Arabidopsis thaliana: one gene and its partner. The protein of the gene in region 1 interacts with the protein of each later gene in a pairwise test. Each region holds a gene or a part of one and is shown in the gene's direction. Other genes may lie near its edges.

What was found. The genes of interacting proteins can lie anywhere in the genome.
Region 2: the proteins of MAP1C (region 1) and GLR1.1 interact in a protein complementation assay, tested with the Arabidopsis thaliana proteins (one large-scale study listed by BioGRID).

The regions. Positions count from the first base shown.
Region 1 is NC_003070.9:4,541,841-4,549,590, forward strand, and holds MAP1C (methionine aminopeptidase 1B), read left to right. Parts: upstream 1-3,048; 5' UTR 3,049-3,158; coding exon 3,159-3,297; intron 3,298-3,495; coding exon 3,496-3,580; intron 3,581-3,690; coding exon 3,691-3,928; intron 3,929-4,012; coding exon 4,013-4,174; intron 4,175-4,261; coding exon 4,262-4,303; intron 4,304-4,385; coding exon 4,386-4,457; intron 4,458-4,620; coding exon 4,621-4,700; coding exon of another isoform or gene 4,701-4,734; exon of another isoform or gene 4,735-4,803; coding exon 4,804-4,901; intron 4,902-5,024; coding exon 5,025-5,072; intron 5,073-5,169; coding exon 5,170-5,315; 3' UTR 5,316-5,533; downstream 5,534-7,750. Other genes in the region: RAV1 (uncharacterized protein), read left to right, coding at 546-1,580; AOC4 (allene oxide cyclase 4), read left to right, coding at 5,784-6,018, 6,183-6,712. UniProt on the Arabidopsis thaliana protein: Removes the N-terminal methionine from nascent proteins. The N-terminal methionine is often cleaved when the second residue in the primary sequence is small and uncharged (Met-Ala-, Cys, Gly, Pro, Ser, Thr, or Val).
Region 2 is NC_003074.8:1,073,621-1,082,110, forward strand, and holds GLR1.1 (glutamate receptor 1.1), read left to right. Parts: upstream 1-3,615; 5' UTR 3,616-3,740; coding exon 3,741-3,996; intron 3,997-4,179; coding exon 4,180-5,387; intron 5,388-5,475; coding exon 5,476-5,788; intron 5,789-5,877; coding exon 5,878-6,212; coding exon of another isoform or gene 6,213-6,301; coding exon 6,302-6,616; 3' UTR 6,617-6,884; downstream 6,885-8,490. Other genes in the region: SIP1A (small and basic intrinsic protein 1A), read right to left, coding at 121-411; AGL57 (AGAMOUS-like 57), read left to right, coding at 1,679-2,302; GAPC1 (glyceraldehyde-3-phosphate dehydrogenase C subunit 1), read left to right, coding at 7,457-7,460, 7,566-7,595, 7,685-7,785, 8,149-8,264, 8,359-8,458. UniProt on the Arabidopsis thaliana protein: Glutamate-gated receptor that probably acts as a non-selective cation channel. Can transport sodium, potassium, and calcium ions.

The DNA.
Region 1 (7,750 bases):
GGTCCCACTTCCCCATGCACACAGCCCACAACATATTCATTTCTATATTTGTTCCTATACTCTCTTTTCTCTTTTTCTTACATAAATAAAATACTAACTTATTATAAGGATTATTATTGCTTCGTGTGTTTTCTTCTATAAGTTACATCAACAGTTCATGAAATAGACCCTAATATAGTAACCTAAATTAAATGCCGTATATTTCATTATGTTTCCACGAAGCTTCCTTTGTGTTCTTTGAGTTGACCCATACACACCCATCTTACTTCCCATGCACCTGCACATATACTATAATTACTCCCCTCAAACACGCATTCTTACAAATATATTTTTTGTTATTACCAAATAAAAAGTGAAACATAAAATAATAATATCAGAAGTGACACTTGCTGTTTCTTATTTCCCTCCCCCCAAGCTCTTTCTCCTTCTTTCTATATATATTATACACACACACGTATACATATACACAACATAATTCACAACACAACACAAACACATTTCTGTTTTCTCCATTGTTTCAAACCATAAAAAAAAACACAGATTAAATGGAATCGAGTAGCGTTGATGAGAGTACTACAAGTACAGGTTCCATCTGTGAAACCCCGGCGATAACTCCGGCGAAAAAGTCGTCGGTAGGTAACTTATACAGGATGGGAAGCGGATCAAGCGTTGTGTTAGATTCAGAGAACGGCGTAGAAGCTGAATCTAGGAAGCTTCCGTCGTCAAAATACAAAGGTGTGGTGCCACAACCAAACGGAAGATGGGGAGCTCAGATTTACGAGAAACACCAGCGCGTGTGGCTCGGGACATTCAACGAAGAAGACGAAGCCGCTCGTGCCTACGACGTCGCGGTTCACAGGTTCCGTCGCCGTGACGCCGTCACAAATTTCAAAGACGTGAAGATGGACGAAGACGAGGTCGATTTCTTGAATTCTCATTCGAAATCTGAGATCGTTGATATGTTGAGGAAACATACTTATAACGAAGAGTTAGAGCAGAGTAAACGGCGTCGTAATGGTAACGGAAACATGACTAGGACGTTGTTAACGTCGGGGTTGAGTAATGATGGTGTTTCTACGACGGGGTTTAGATCGGCGGAGGCACTGTTTGAGAAAGCGGTAACGCCAAGCGACGTTGGGAAGCTAAACCGTTTGGTTATACCGAAACATCACGCAGAGAAACATTTTCCGTTACCGTCAAGTAACGTTTCCGTGAAAGGAGTGTTGTTGAACTTTGAGGACGTTAACGGGAAAGTGTGGAGGTTCCGTTACTCGTATTGGAACAGTAGTCAGAGTTATGTTTTGACTAAAGGTTGGAGCAGGTTCGTTAAGGAGAAGAATCTACGTGCTGGTGACGTGGTTAGTTTCAGTAGATCTAACGGTCAGGATCAACAGTTGTACATTGGGTGGAAGTCGAGATCCGGGTCAGATTTAGATGCGGGTCGGGTTTTGAGATTGTTCGGAGTTAACATTTCACCGGAGAGTTCAAGAAACGACGTCGTAGGAAACAAAAGAGTGAACGATACTGAGATGTTATCGTTGGTGTGTAGCAAGAAGCAACGCATCTTTCACGCCTCGTAACAACTCTTCTTCTTTTTTTTTTCTTTTGTTGTTTTAATAATTTTTAAAAACTCCATTTTCGTTTTCTTTATTTGCATCGGTTTCTTTCTTCTTGTTTACCAAAGGTTCATGAGTTGTTTTTGTTGTATTGATGAACTGTAAATTTTATTTATAGGATAAATTTTAAAAAGGGTTACTTAGATATGTCTCAAGAGTTTTATTAGCATGAGATGATGAAAATGTTGTTACCAAATCTTACCTTGGTTTCTTTTCATTTTATGTGTATGGGAACTCGTATTTATATGTATGCATTAGCTACTGCTTATGGTATTTGCTGCTTTTTGTATATAGATTTGAGGAGTTATGACTTATGCGTACGTAATTTTATAAAATAACTCCAACCAAAAGAGAAAAAGTTTGCAGGGTCTGTAAACGTATATAATCGTATGATGATATGATAGACCATACTCCGATACAAATAACCAAAGAGAAAGATATTTTAAAATGAATGCTATTTAAGCTTTTGCAAGATATTATTTTAAGCTTCAGAAATTATTGTGTTGGTAGAGAGATTCATGTTGCTGTTAAATAATATATATGTATTTATAATTCTATCTACTACTTTTTCGGCTTAACTCAATCTAGATATTTGTTTCTAAAAGTGTTTTAGTTTTCTTTCTTTCGCTGGCTGCGACTATGAGTATCTTCAGATTCTCTACAAACTTAGGTATATATAGCTATTTATTTCGAAGGAATTTGATGGTTAAAACGAATAACATTAAAACTCTGTTAATCTCTTACGAAATGGTATATAGTATATGCGTTAGAGTTTGAACATATGATGATAATAGTACACCTGCCGCATACATTACTATGTACCTACATAAAGGAATATATTGACCATTGATCTAATGAATGTTCCGTTCATATGCACTTTCTTTCGATACAATTCGGTGGACTATAACATTATTCCATTATAGCATAAAATCCTATTATACAATTAAAAATGCCCACGCAATTTTACGTATACTTTTGTCTATAACACACATCCACACATAATTCAAGTTGTGTTCAAATAGTAACACAGCAGTAGCTTTAGTGAAAATTATTAGACTTGTTGATACCAAAGACTAGAAAGAAAGAAAATAAATAAATGTACTAGAAAAAATCCACCATCATAATCGTTATTGTTGTTTGATTTTTGTGGATCCATTTAGATATACATTTATCAACGACTAATTCTCAATCTAACAAATTCTATAAGATAGGAAAATTTTGAAAAAGCACGATCATAATTTAGAAAAACACAAGTTAATCATAAAGTTACTAATTTAATAGCTATAATTTCTTTTAGTTACAAGAACCATAAAAATGTCGTCAAATATCTTTTAGATAATCTTGTCATAATTCAAAACTTCAAGCAAATCATATCTTCATAAACCCCATATGGCCTAAAGTAGCCTATACTTGATCGATCATATACAAGCCCAATGGGCTTTAAAGTCCATTAGTTTGTTAATTAAAATATCAAGAACCATTTTTTTTTTCTCTTCACTGCAAATTTTGATATTTTGGGTTTTAGCAGTGAAGTTTGCGAAAATGGCGTCTTCGGTTTTTCTATCCAGTTTCTCGTCATCGTCTTCTTTGCAACTCTGCTCTTCCTTTCACGGCGAGTACTTAGCTCCGTCGAGATGCTTTCTCGGAGCTCCGGTCACTTCCTCTTCTTTATCACTCTCCGGTTTGTCATTTTTACTTGTCACTGTTTCTTCGTTTGCTCTGTTCGTTATTCAATTATTGCTTCGTTTTTCATTGGAAGATATCGAAATTATTGGTCATCTGATTGGAAATTTTGAAACTTTCTCCGTTGTTCCGATTTTGAATGTTGTATAATTGAAGAACTTTGGTGTATGAAGTTTATCTTCTCTCATATCTGTAGGTAAGAAGAACTCATATTCTCCGAGACAGTTCCATGTTTCTGCCAAGAAAGTTTCTGGGTTAGAGGAAGCCATTAGAATCAGAAAGTAATTAACTTTGTTTAACTCTCTTGTATCATAAAAATGCAATCTTGAAAAAAGAATTCATCTTTTGGTCATAGAGCTAATAGTACATTAATTTGGTTTACATTTTATAGAATGAGAGAGCTTGAAACTAAATCAAAAGTTAGGAGAAATCCACCATTAAGACGTGGAAGAGTATCGCCTCGTCTTCTTGTACCTGATCACATTCCAAGGCCTCCTTATGTTGAGTCTGGTGTATTACCGGATATATCAAGTGAGTTCCAGATTCCTGGTCCTGAAGGCATTGCGAAAATGAGAGCTGCTTGCGAGCTTGCTGCTCGGGTTTTAAACTATGCTGGAACTTTGGTTAAGGTAAGATTTTAGTTTCCTTGTGGATCTTTTGTTTTCCTATGTTATGGATATGTGGTCTGAGTTGTTGTTTATATGGTTCTGCAGCCATCTGTTACGACTAATGAAATCGATAAAGCTGTGCATGATATGATTATTGAAGCTGGTGCTTATCCTTCACCTCTTGGATATGGTGGATTTCCTAAAAGTGTGTGTACTTCAGTTAATGAGTGTATGTGTCACGGAATACCAGATTCTCGCCAGCTACAGGTCCTCATGTGTGCTTTTTACTGCTTTAAGCTGAATAGCTTTGAAGGAGTTCATTTGTTTATCACTAACTATTAAGTCTTAATGCAGAGCGGGGATATAATCAACATCGATGTCACGGTTTACTTGGATGTAAGTCATTTGCGCTTCTTTTGTTAATTTGCAGACACTTTCACTTTGTTTGATTTCTACATACAACTTGAAACATCGACAGGGTTACCATGGAGATACGTCGAGAACTTTCTTCTGTGGAGAAGTTGACGAAGGTTTCAAACGACTTGTGAAGGTAGTATTCTTCTTCTTCTTCTTCTTCTTCTTCTTCTTCTTCTTCTTCTTCTTCTTCTTCTTCTTCTTCTTCTTCTTCTCTTCACTGTGTTTTGTCTTCAAGTTCACAAAAAAATGAATTCTGTTTTAATATGCTAACTGTTGTCGGTTTCTTGTTCTGTAAGGTTACGGAAGAATGTTTGGAGAGAGGTATTGCAGTTTGTAAAGACGGAGCAAGCTTCAAGAAAATCGGGAAAAGAATCAGGTTGCAACCAAAACTATTCTTGATTTCAATATAACCGTGTAGAAATGTACTATTTGAGGACACTGCTAGAACAAACAATCTCAATGCTTTCAATTTCCAACAGTGAGCATGCGGAAAAGTTCGGCTACAACGTTGTGGAGCGGTTTGTTGGGCATGGTGTTGGACCAGTATTCCACTCCGAACCTCTTATATATCATTACCGTAAGTAATCTCTTCCTTAGCAAAATCGTTCTTATGTTAGGAAACATCAATCAAAAACAATAGTTGGCTGCATATGCATATGAACCTGGACTTACGGTTGAGGAATTTTAATCCAATTTGCAGGAAATGATGAGCCTGGACTAATGGTTGAGGGACAGACATTCACAATTGGTTAGCCATTTTTTCCCCTTCCATGTCATGGCTTTCATTTGCTTATGATTAGGTGATTACTATATAATAAAAAACCGATGAATACATTATGTTGCAGAACCGATTCTCACGATTGGAACCACAGAATGTGTAACATGGCCAGACAACTGGACTACTCTGACAGCAGATGGTGGCGTCGCTGCTCAGTTTGAGCATACCATTCTGATTACTAGAACTGGTTCAGAGATTCTTACCAAATGCTAAAACTATTCACATTGATCATTTCCATTTCACCTTTTATTTGCTGATCATTTAAGGTCCATAGTATAAATTCATTATCTTTGAGACCATAGTCTAACAATTTGTGTTAGTGCCATCTTTTAAGATCTCAAGATTAGTTTGCTATTAGAAATTTTCCCACATGTTCCCTCAAGTCTTTCTTTATTCCACAAATTCCCATTTCACAACAATTATTTGCGACTTTTTTTGTTTCCCTGTCTTTTTGTGTTTAATTCTTAGTTATTTTAGATGAAGCTAGAGACCCACTTTCCCATATTTACGCACATGGCTCCTCATCATTCATCATCACGATAAAAATGCATAGTACATAAAGTATCCATTAAAACGTAGATCTAGTCTCTTCACAACACTTCAACAGTTCAACTAATAACGCAAAAATCAGTTTCTCTTTGAGTAAGTGTTTATTACAATTAAACTAACTCAGGCAAGTCTATGATCATGGCTTCTTCTGCTGCTGCATCGATCTCTATGATAACTCTAAGGAACCTCTCTCGCAATCATCAATCTCACCAAAGCACTTTTCTCGGTTTCTCTAGATCCTTCCATAACCAAAGGATCTCATCTAACAGTCCAGGTCTCTCCACACGAGCAAGATCCACCACTTCCTCCACTGGAGGTTTCTTCAGAACCATTTGCAGCAGCAGTAGCAATGACTACTCCAGACCAAGTAAGTAAAAAGTTAACCTTTATGCTCACAACTAAGTACCCATTTCATGATTTGAGAAAATTAGCATCAAATTAGGTATAAGAACAAAAAAAGAATCAACCTTTAAGCTCAAAATCAAGTACCCATTTCACAAAAACTGATTTTTATTTTGTGAAAAATCTCAGCTAAGATCCAAGAGCTTAACGTCTACGAGTTCAACGAAGGTGATCGAAACAGTCCAGCGGTTTTAAAACTAGGGAAAAAACCAGATCAGCTTTGTCTCGGAGATCTTGTCCCCTTCACAAACAAACTCTACACAGGAGATCTCACAAAACGCATAGGAATCACCGCAGGTCTCTGCGTTTTGATCCAACATGTTCCAGAGAAGAAAGGTGATCGCTTTGAAGCTTCTTACAGTTTCTACTTCGGAGATTATGGTCACATATCAGTTCAAGGACCTTATCTCACTTACGAGGACACGTTTCTTGCTATCACCGGTGGCTCCGGCGTGTTTGAAGGAGCTTATGGACAGGTCAAGCTTCGTCAGCTTGTGTATCCTACGAAGCTGTTTTACACTTTCTACTTGAAAGGTGTTGCTGCTGATTTACCTGTGGAGCTTACCGGAAAACATGTTGAGCCGTCGAAGGAAGTGAAACCGGCGGCTGAAGCTCAGGCGACTCAGCCCGGCGCTACGATCGCTAACTTTACTAATTGAAATCTAAATCTTTGTGGGTGTCTTTGTCATGGATCTTATTGGGCTGTTGTTCATTGTGTTTACATTTTAATAATGGGCCTAAATAATGAGCCTTTGTATTGGGCCGTTCTCGTAAGCGTAATGTGTCCCGTCCCTATAAGCTGGATTTAAGCGCGTGAACTCCACCTTCCGATATTTTTTTTTGATAGATTATATCAAATCCATGGATACTTTCTATATTTGGAAAGTTTGGCTTAGTAGGCTCGTGGCCATGTTTGAGCTAAAACTCATAAACGAATCTTTTTAATGTTCTTTCACCGAATGCTTATTTTGTATTTTTCATCCCCTGAATCGGTTTTAAACATAGTAATTTTATCTGGTATACACTTTTTTTCAGAAGAAAACCAATTTTGTGTAGCATAAAGGAGAAATCTATTTGCAACTGTTCATTAATTAAGGACTTTGCTAGACGAGAATAGTTTTGATCTTTTACAATTTTTATTCTTACAAAAAAAAAGATTGTAGTAGAATAATTTTTTCTAAATTTTATGTACTTGTTTCAGTTTGCGTATATATATCCATAGACTTTGGTCATAAACTTATACTTTAATGAAGTCATGTTGAATGGAGTATCAGTCCAACACTCCTTCAATATTCATCAGTTTGCAATTTCCAAAACGACATTTATGACTCCCGTACCTTCGAGGACCAAATTATTCAAAGTTTCAAACGAAATATTTTTACTTGTAATTTTTTTTTTTTTTTTGGAATCGAGATATTTGAAATATGACAAGTAGTCTGACAATTTAACTATTTAGCTATCTTAGCTCACGTAGATTTTTTTTGGTTGTAGAGATTCGAACGAAATTTATGCTTCCTCCAATTATAAATAGAAGCTGCAGTTATGCGACTTTGGTTTTATCATATACTGATATACATCATGTTATCACGACTTTTTGCACGAATAATTTTCGACATATCCTTTTGGTTTAAAATTTAGAGTGGTAGTTAACAAAAACTGAAAAACATTCATAGAATGCTACTTTCAATCTAAGAATT
Region 2 (8,490 bases), on another chromosome or scaffold:
CTATACCCATTTGAAAGAAACTATCACAGATCACAAATATTGATAGAAACCAAGTAAACCCAAAACAGTAAGCTGAAAAAAGTTTAAAAATTCAGAAAAAAGTTTGGATCTTTAGAAAACCTGAGCAGGTAATCTAATCGCCAAGGAGAAAAGAGTATCTCCGGGGACACCGGCGACATAAAAGGCAGCGCTTCCGGTAGGATTGAAGCTAGCGCTACCGAAGATAACGGTGAAGATCGAGACGTAGACGAAAATCAACGACGTCAAAATCACCAACGGAGCCCAAGTGATTGCCTGAAAATCACCGGCGGAGATAATCGCCGCCGTCTGAATTCCAAAGGTAGCGGAGAGGACAACCCAAGAGAAGGTCATCAACATATCCCCAATCGCCGACTTCAACACACCCATCATCTTCGTCTTCGTCTTCTTCTCTTTGGCGTTCGTATCGAGAAAGTTCTCTGTCTTTTGGGGATCTGGTTGTGGTTAGGTGGGTGGTACGTCGCCTCTTTAGCTTTCTCTCTCACAGCTATTTTTCTCCTCAAATAGATTTTTTTCTTTTTGAAAATTTGTTTTTTTTTGTTTTTTTCTTGTTTTATGAAACGAAGATATCTTTGAATGATTAACCTAACCGATAGTCTTACAGAGATTGCAACAAATATATAAATTATTAGTTATTGAATATCAGTTGAAATTATACGTGGACTTAAACTAGGTTTTATTAGAGTTAATAATTAGAGTTTAAATTAAGCATATAAAAAGCGTGGATTTTATTTTATATTAGCTAGCTGTAGCCTATGAGAGGAAATATTTTTCATGTGTTTCATGTTATATAAATTTGGAAATTTATAAGTATAAATTGCATCCCTTAAGTTATTGTTATTTTAGAGAAAATAGATTAAAGTTATTTTAACCTAAAATTAAATTTTTAAATTTTTTTTTTATGTTTATATATTGACTTCAATTCTATTAGCTTTAACTAGCTTTCCAACGGTAGTAATTTCAAGTCAAACGGAATATTATAGCAATTCTATTAGTTTCAATTAGCTTTCCAACGATAGTGATTTCAAGTCAAACAAAATATTATAGCAAAAGTTATGACTAATCAAATGAACGGACTTATACTAATACAAAAAAGTTTTATTTTTTAAATGAAATTTGATAGAAAAATAAGATAAATTTGGATTTTGAAGTTTTTTAAAAAAATTATATGACTAATCTACAAAAAAATAAGAATATTATGGACAAATTTTGTAGTAGATATCTTTTATATCAAATTTTTCCTATTTTTTTTGTAACAAAAGAATTTTGGATCTGAGGTATGTTCCCTGTAAGGGATACACAAACTCGTAATTACCTAAAAGAACATTCCTCCTTGAATGGTCAATTAGCCTTTACACCAGCTATTACACCAATTGGGTTACCATAATAGTTTCTTGACTGATTAATGAAGATGTTAAAGTGGTTGCCAAATGTGTTTAGTCAACATTTTTTTTTTTTTTTTGTAAATTAGTCAATACACTTTCTTCATAACTAAGATTTAAATTTAATGTCTCCAAACTTTGTAATCCTATCTCTTTCTTTGGTCTATAAATAGATTGTGTTTTGCGCATGGTTTTATCATTACATACAAAATAACAAACCTACAAGAAATCAAACACTAGTTCTGGTTTCTGCAAACATGTCATCTACGAAGCAAGCAAAGGGAAGAAAAACAAAGGGGAAGCAAAAGATCGAGATGAAGAAGGTGGAGAACTATGGAGATAGGATGATTACGTTCTCAAAACGTAAAACCGGAATTTTTAAGAAAATGAACGAGCTCGTAGCAATGTGTGACGTTGAAGTGGCTTTCTTGATTTTCTCTCAACCCAAGAAGCCCTATACATTCGCACATCCGTCTATGAAGAAAGTGGCTGACCGGTTAAAGAACCCTTCGAGACAAGAACCATTAGAGAGAGACGATACCAGACCCCTCGTCGAAGCTTATAAGAAACGAAGGCTCCACGACCTCGTAAAAAAAATGGAGGCGCTCGAAGAGGAGCTTGCGATGGATCTAGAGAAGTTGAAACTGTTGAAGGAATCGAGAAATGAAAAGAAGTTAGATAAAATGTGGTGGAACTTTCCTTCGGAAGGTTTGAGCGCGAAGGAGCTGCAGCAAAGGTACCAAGCGATGCTCGAGTTACGTGATAACTTATGCGACAATATGGCTCACTTACGATTGGGAAAAGACTGTGGTGGTTCATCTTCTGTTCGTGTGGGACGTCGAGTTTCTGGTGGTGTTCGTCTGTTCGATCGTGAAGCATGATCATACATATTCATACTTGATGATTTAAATTTCTTTGTATTTGAACTGCTGATTTTAATACTGCATGTATCCATTTGACGAAGCTCAATCGTCTCGAGTATATCTCTATTATCTAACAGTATTGAGAAAAAAGGAGTTTCAGTTTTCAAAAGTTGAAAGACTGAGCCAAGTGATGACAAATTCGAGCGTTAGGGTCTTCACAAATTGGATATTTTGCGAAAAATCATGTTAGTTTTTTATTTGATGTATTATTAATAAGAAATGAGGGTTTCCTTTTTTGAAGTAATCAAAAGAATTTTCCATTTTTGCGTCCAATCATGTAAAACTTAACCATTCCTTTTGTTTCCTTTTAAAGATAAAATTCCTTTTAAAAGTAATTTTTCATTTTCTTCAGAAACCTTTCGGTCATAACCTTCTCTTATAAAATAATAATCTCTTCTTACGAATCAAAGGTCTCTTATTCGAAGGGCAATAACATTTGACCATAAAAAAAACCCCATATATATATACAGTGTATATATATATTTTTGCCCCTTTGTGAAGAAAATAAAACAATCAGAGATGAGCCCTAAATTTTCCAACCATGCGACCGTTTATGTGATCCATCGTTGCGCGGGTATATCGAAGATCGTATTATGAGTCTTTTTATGATCGTATTATCCTTTGTGCGAAGTACAACTATTGAACAAGACGAGAAAAAGTTTTCATTGCGCAGGTAAGTCGCGAGGGAGATGTATTCCATAAGTATTCTATAAGCCAAGTCTCCTAATCTCCCTGGTAACGTTATCTCATTCCACATGTACTCTATAAGTATTCGCGAGCGTGTGGTTTCGATAGAGTAATAATTTAATGATTGTAGAAGGAGATGACTGTGGGATCATCCTAGACTAGAGTTTTAATCTCTTGATTTGATTTTTCCTCGACGAGTTGAACTAACCAGCTTGTGATTTTTTTTAGCTTCTCGGGTTGTGGTAGATTTTATTATATATCACTTGGTTGTCCTATCACTTGAACTCGAATATTTACTTCTACGAATTGACTTTGCGAAATAAGCTAATATATCTAGTATTATGGTTTCCCCTGCATATGTATTTTACATTGTATTTAACCTGGATTTTGAAATCAGTTTTAAAAGTAACTGTTGAAAACATAAATTAAATAAAACTTTTTTTAAGGCTCAACTATACTTTAGAAGGAAATAAATGTGTTTCCTAGTCAATTTGTGTCGATGAACAGTACACATTGACTTTGATTGTGTGCGATATCGCGTTAGTTTGATTTAAAATGATTGTGACCATACACTTCAGAAAATCAAAATGCAATTTGACCGGAAAAAAAAAATGGTCCAGTATAATTATTATTCCATGGCACAAGTAGATATGGAAACACCATTGTTTATAACCCAAAGCGAACGTTACAGAGCTATACAAGAAATTATATGGAGATTCTGTTTTCTATTTCCATTCTTGCTCTTCTCTTTTCCGGAGTAGTAGCTGCTCCAAGCGACGATGATGTTTTCGAAGAGGTTAGGGTTGGATTGGTGGTTGACTTGAGTTCTATACAAGGCAAGATTCTGGAAACTTCTTTTAACTTAGCGCTTTCAGATTTCTATGGCATCAACAATGGATACCGAACCAGAGTCTCTGTTTTGGTCAGAGACTCCCAAGGAGACCCGATCATTGCTCTTGCCGCCGGTGAGTTTTCATCTCCCTTATTCAATTATTGCAATTTTTGGTGGGATCCACAACTCCTCTTCATTTAAAGCAGACTGAATCAAATAAAAAAGAATTGACCTAGTCCCGCCGGTTTACTCCGGTTAACATTCTCATGTCTTGCACTAACCGTTTTGCACTGCAATTTGTGTTTGTATGAAACAGCTACTGATCTTCTCAAAAATGCAAAAGCGGAAGCCATTGTTGGTGCACAATCATTACAAGAGGCAAAGCTTTTGGCGACGATTAGCGAAAAAGCTAAAGTTCCGGTCATATCTACTTTCTTGCCAAACACGTTATCTTTGAAGAAATACGATAACTTTATTCAATGGACGCATGATACTACATCAGAGGCTAAGGGAATTACAAGTCTCATACAAGATTTCAGTTGTAAATCGGTTGTGGTTATATACGAGGATGCTGATGATTGGAGTGAGAGTTTGCAAATATTGGTTGAGAATTTTCAAGATAAAGGAATCTATATCGCTCGTTCTGCTTCTTTTGCAGTCTCATCATCAGGAGAAAATCATATGATGAATCAGCTAAGGAAGCTTAAGGTCTCAAGAGCATCGGTTTTTGTGGTGCATATGTCCGAGATTCTTGTTTCTCGTCTCTTCCAATGTGTAGAGAAGTTAGGTTTGATGGAAGAAGCGTTCGCTTGGATCCTCACTGCAAGAACCATGAACTACTTGGAACATTTTGCAATAACTAGGTCGATGCAAGGGGTCATTGGTTTCAAATCTTACATCCCTGTATCTGAAGAAGTTAAGAATTTTACTTCAAGATTGAGGAAACGTATGGGAGATGATACAGAAACAGAGCATTCTAGTGTAATCATCGGTTTACGCGCACACGATATCGCTTGTATTCTAGCAAATGCAGTAGAGAAGTTCAGTGTAAGTGGTAAAGTTGAAGCATCTTCGAATGTATCAGCTGATCTTCTGGATACAATTAGACATAGTAGATTCAAGGGTTTGAGTGGTGACATCCAAATCTCTGACAACAAATTTATCTCAGAGACATTTGAAATCGTGAATATTGGAAGAGAAAAACAGAGAAGGATAGGATTATGGAGTGGTGGTAGTTTTAGCCAAAGAAGACAGATTGTTTGGCCTGGCAGGTCTCGTAAGATCCCAAGACACCGTGTTTTGGCAGAGAAAGGTGAAAAGAAGGTGCTTAGGGTCTTAGTTACCGCAGGAAACAAGGTCCCGCATCTAGTGTCGGTGCGTCCTGATCCTGAAACAGGTGTTAATACTGTCTCTGGATTCTGCGTAGAGGTTTTCAAGACTTGCATTGCTCCTTTTAACTACGAGCTTGAATTCATACCTTACCGTGGAAACAATGACAATCTTGCTTATCTACTTTCTACTCAGGTGTGAAAATGCAAACAGTTTAAAAACATTTTTCTAGTCAAAAATGATTATGTATGTTTCTAATAATGTGTGTTTGCAATTTTGACAGAGAGACAAGTATGATGCAGCAGTTGGTGATATCACCATCACTTCCAACAGATCTTTGTATGTTGATTTTACTTTGCCGTACACTGACATTGGTATTGGAATCTTGACAGTGAAAAAGAAAAGCCAAGGGATGTGGACCTTCTTTGATCCTTTCGAAAAATCCTTGTGGCTAGCAAGTGGAGCTTTCTTTGTCTTAACTGGGATTGTTGTTTGGTTAGTTGAACGGTCCGTTAATCCGGAATTTCAGGGCTCTTGGGGACAACAACTTAGTATGATGCTCTGGTTTGGTTTCTCAACCATTGTATTTGCTCACAGTAAGTGTTTATGTTAGAGTACTACTCTTCATGAAATCCCATCCTTTTGTATATTTTGATCTATAACAAATTACGCACATTCTTGGCAGGAGAGAAGCTACAGAAAATGTCATCAAGATTCTTAGTCATAGTTTGGGTTTTTGTGGTGTTAATATTGACTTCAAGTTACAGCGCAAACTTGACATCAACCAAGACCATTTCTCGCATGCAATTAAATCATCAGATGGTTTTCGGGGGATCTACGACGTCAATGACTGCGAAGCTCGGATCCATTAATGCAGTTGAGGCCTATGCACAACTTTTGCGAGATGGAACTCTTAATCATGTCATCAATGAAATACCTTATCTCAGTATCCTTATCGGAAATTATCCGAATGATTTCGTAATGACAGATAGAGTGACTAATACCAATGGCTTTGGCTTTGTATGTACCCTTCTCCTCAAACCTCTCATTTTCTCTCCATTATTTGGTTACTTATTCTTGTTACGTACTAATTTATGTTTACCTCTCAGATGTTCCAGAAAGGTTCGGATTTGGTTCCTAAAGTATCGCGAGAAATCGCGAAGCTAAGATCATTGGGAATGTTGAAAGACATGGAGAAAAAATGGTTTCAAAAACTGGATTCACTAAATGTACATTCCAACACCGAGGAAGTTGCATCTACCAACGACGATGATGAGGCATCTAAGCGATTCACCTTCCGTGAGTTGCGCGGTTTGTTCATCATTGCGGGAGCTGCTCATGTTCTCGTACTAGCCCTACATCTCTTTCATACGCGTCAAGAGGTATCACGACTATGCACCAAACTTCAAAGCTTCTATAAGTAAAAAGTGATCCATCGTTCATAAGCTCTACTATAGCAATTGACGGGACAGGACTCATAAGTAACAACAAAGTACACTTCGAAACAAATTTCACATGTAATACTTGTTTTTTTTTCCCGTTTAAATTCACATGTAATAATTTAATTCACGTAAATACTAAAGTGATTCACCCATCACGAAGTATTTTTTGAATTAAATACATCAACTAATCGAGTTTTTGATAGGGACTTTTGCTTTTTTGAATATTGCTTATCAAATCAAAATTTTCAAATTCTTGTCCATATACGCCTATCAAATATCTTCTTTTAAAGAAAGTCTCCTAAAGAGTTGAAAACTTGAAATATATACTTTTCTAAAATATAATTTTATTTGGGCGTTACGTTCTAGAAAATGGAACCCGTCTACTAAAATGGGCCGCTCGTGAACTCGTGGCAGTCAAACACTGGTCGGCGCATAAAAGCATATCCAAATACGCTGCGTTTCATGCTTACCCGACCCGTCTTAAATATTTAAAGAATATTCCAGATTAGCGCGTGAGATGCAGTTGCCATGTCTCGCCTCAGGAATGACGACATTTGCCAAAATAACAGAGCTACAACGGTAAATAAGGAAAATGATTAAGGGCAATTTGGTCTTTTAGGTTAAGAAAAGTATTGAATCAGATCTGACTTTTTGGCCAAGAAAAACTCTCAGCCACTAGATCATTCCGACCCCTCCTCCACGTTCTTCTCTCTTTTAAATAACCTCTTCACGGAACCCTTCTCACTCACCTATCTCACTCTAAAATCTCTCTCTGCCAATCTCATCTTCAACCTCTCTCTAACTCTCGTTTTCGATTCTACAATGGGTTAGTCTCTCGCTTTTACTAATCTCTCGTCCCGTCGCTGCTATTTTACGTTGTTGAGTTTTCTGATCTGATCGTTTTTCTGATTTTGTTTGTTGTTTTATGTAGCTGACAAGAAGATTAGGATCGGAATCAACGGTGAGTTTCGAATCGATTTTGTAATTCGGGTTTGTATGTTCTCATGTATCTAGATCTAGAATCTGACTGTTGATTTCTGTTATCGTTAGGATTCGGAAGAATTGGTCGTTTGGTTGCTAGAGTTGTTCTCCAGAGGGACGATGTTGAGCTCGTCGCTGTCAACGACCCCTTCATCACTACTGAGTACATGGTTAGTGTTCCTTCCTTGGTTTTGACGGTGATTCGATCTTGGTTTGCTTCAATATTATTTTGATCTCTTGACGATAAGATTCTGTTAGTCGCTCTGGTACCTTTGCTTTCGTTAGATTTGATAGATGGATCATATCATTTATGGATTATGCATGTGGATTTAAGTGTCAGATGATTTGTTCAATTAGTGCACAGATCTGGAAACTGGTTTAGTGTTCATTGTTCATACTGTTTAGCTGATCAGTATACTTGTGGAGCTGTTGTTTGTTTTGCTGTGTTTGTAATGTTATTGATTAGCCTGTTTGTGATTAGAGTTGATATGGTTGAGTTGATTTTGATTGCGCTCTGTGTTTGATTGCTGCAGACCTACATGTTCAAGTACGACAGTGTTCACGGTCAATGGAAACACAATGAACTCAAGATCAAGGATGAGAAGACCCTTCTCTTCGGTGAGAAGCCAGTCACTGTTTTCGGCATCAGGTACATTTATCAACCAGTTCTCTGTCTCTTTGCGTGTATACATATTACAAACTGTTGTGAATTTCAATCTCATTAGTTTTTGGTATTTGTGAAGGAACCCTGAGGATATCCCATGGGCCGAGGCTGGAGCTGACTACGTTGTTGAGTCTACTGGTGTCTTCACTGACAAAGACAAGGCTGCAGCTCACTTGAAGGTTTGTCTTATTTGAATTGGTTATTTTTGTCT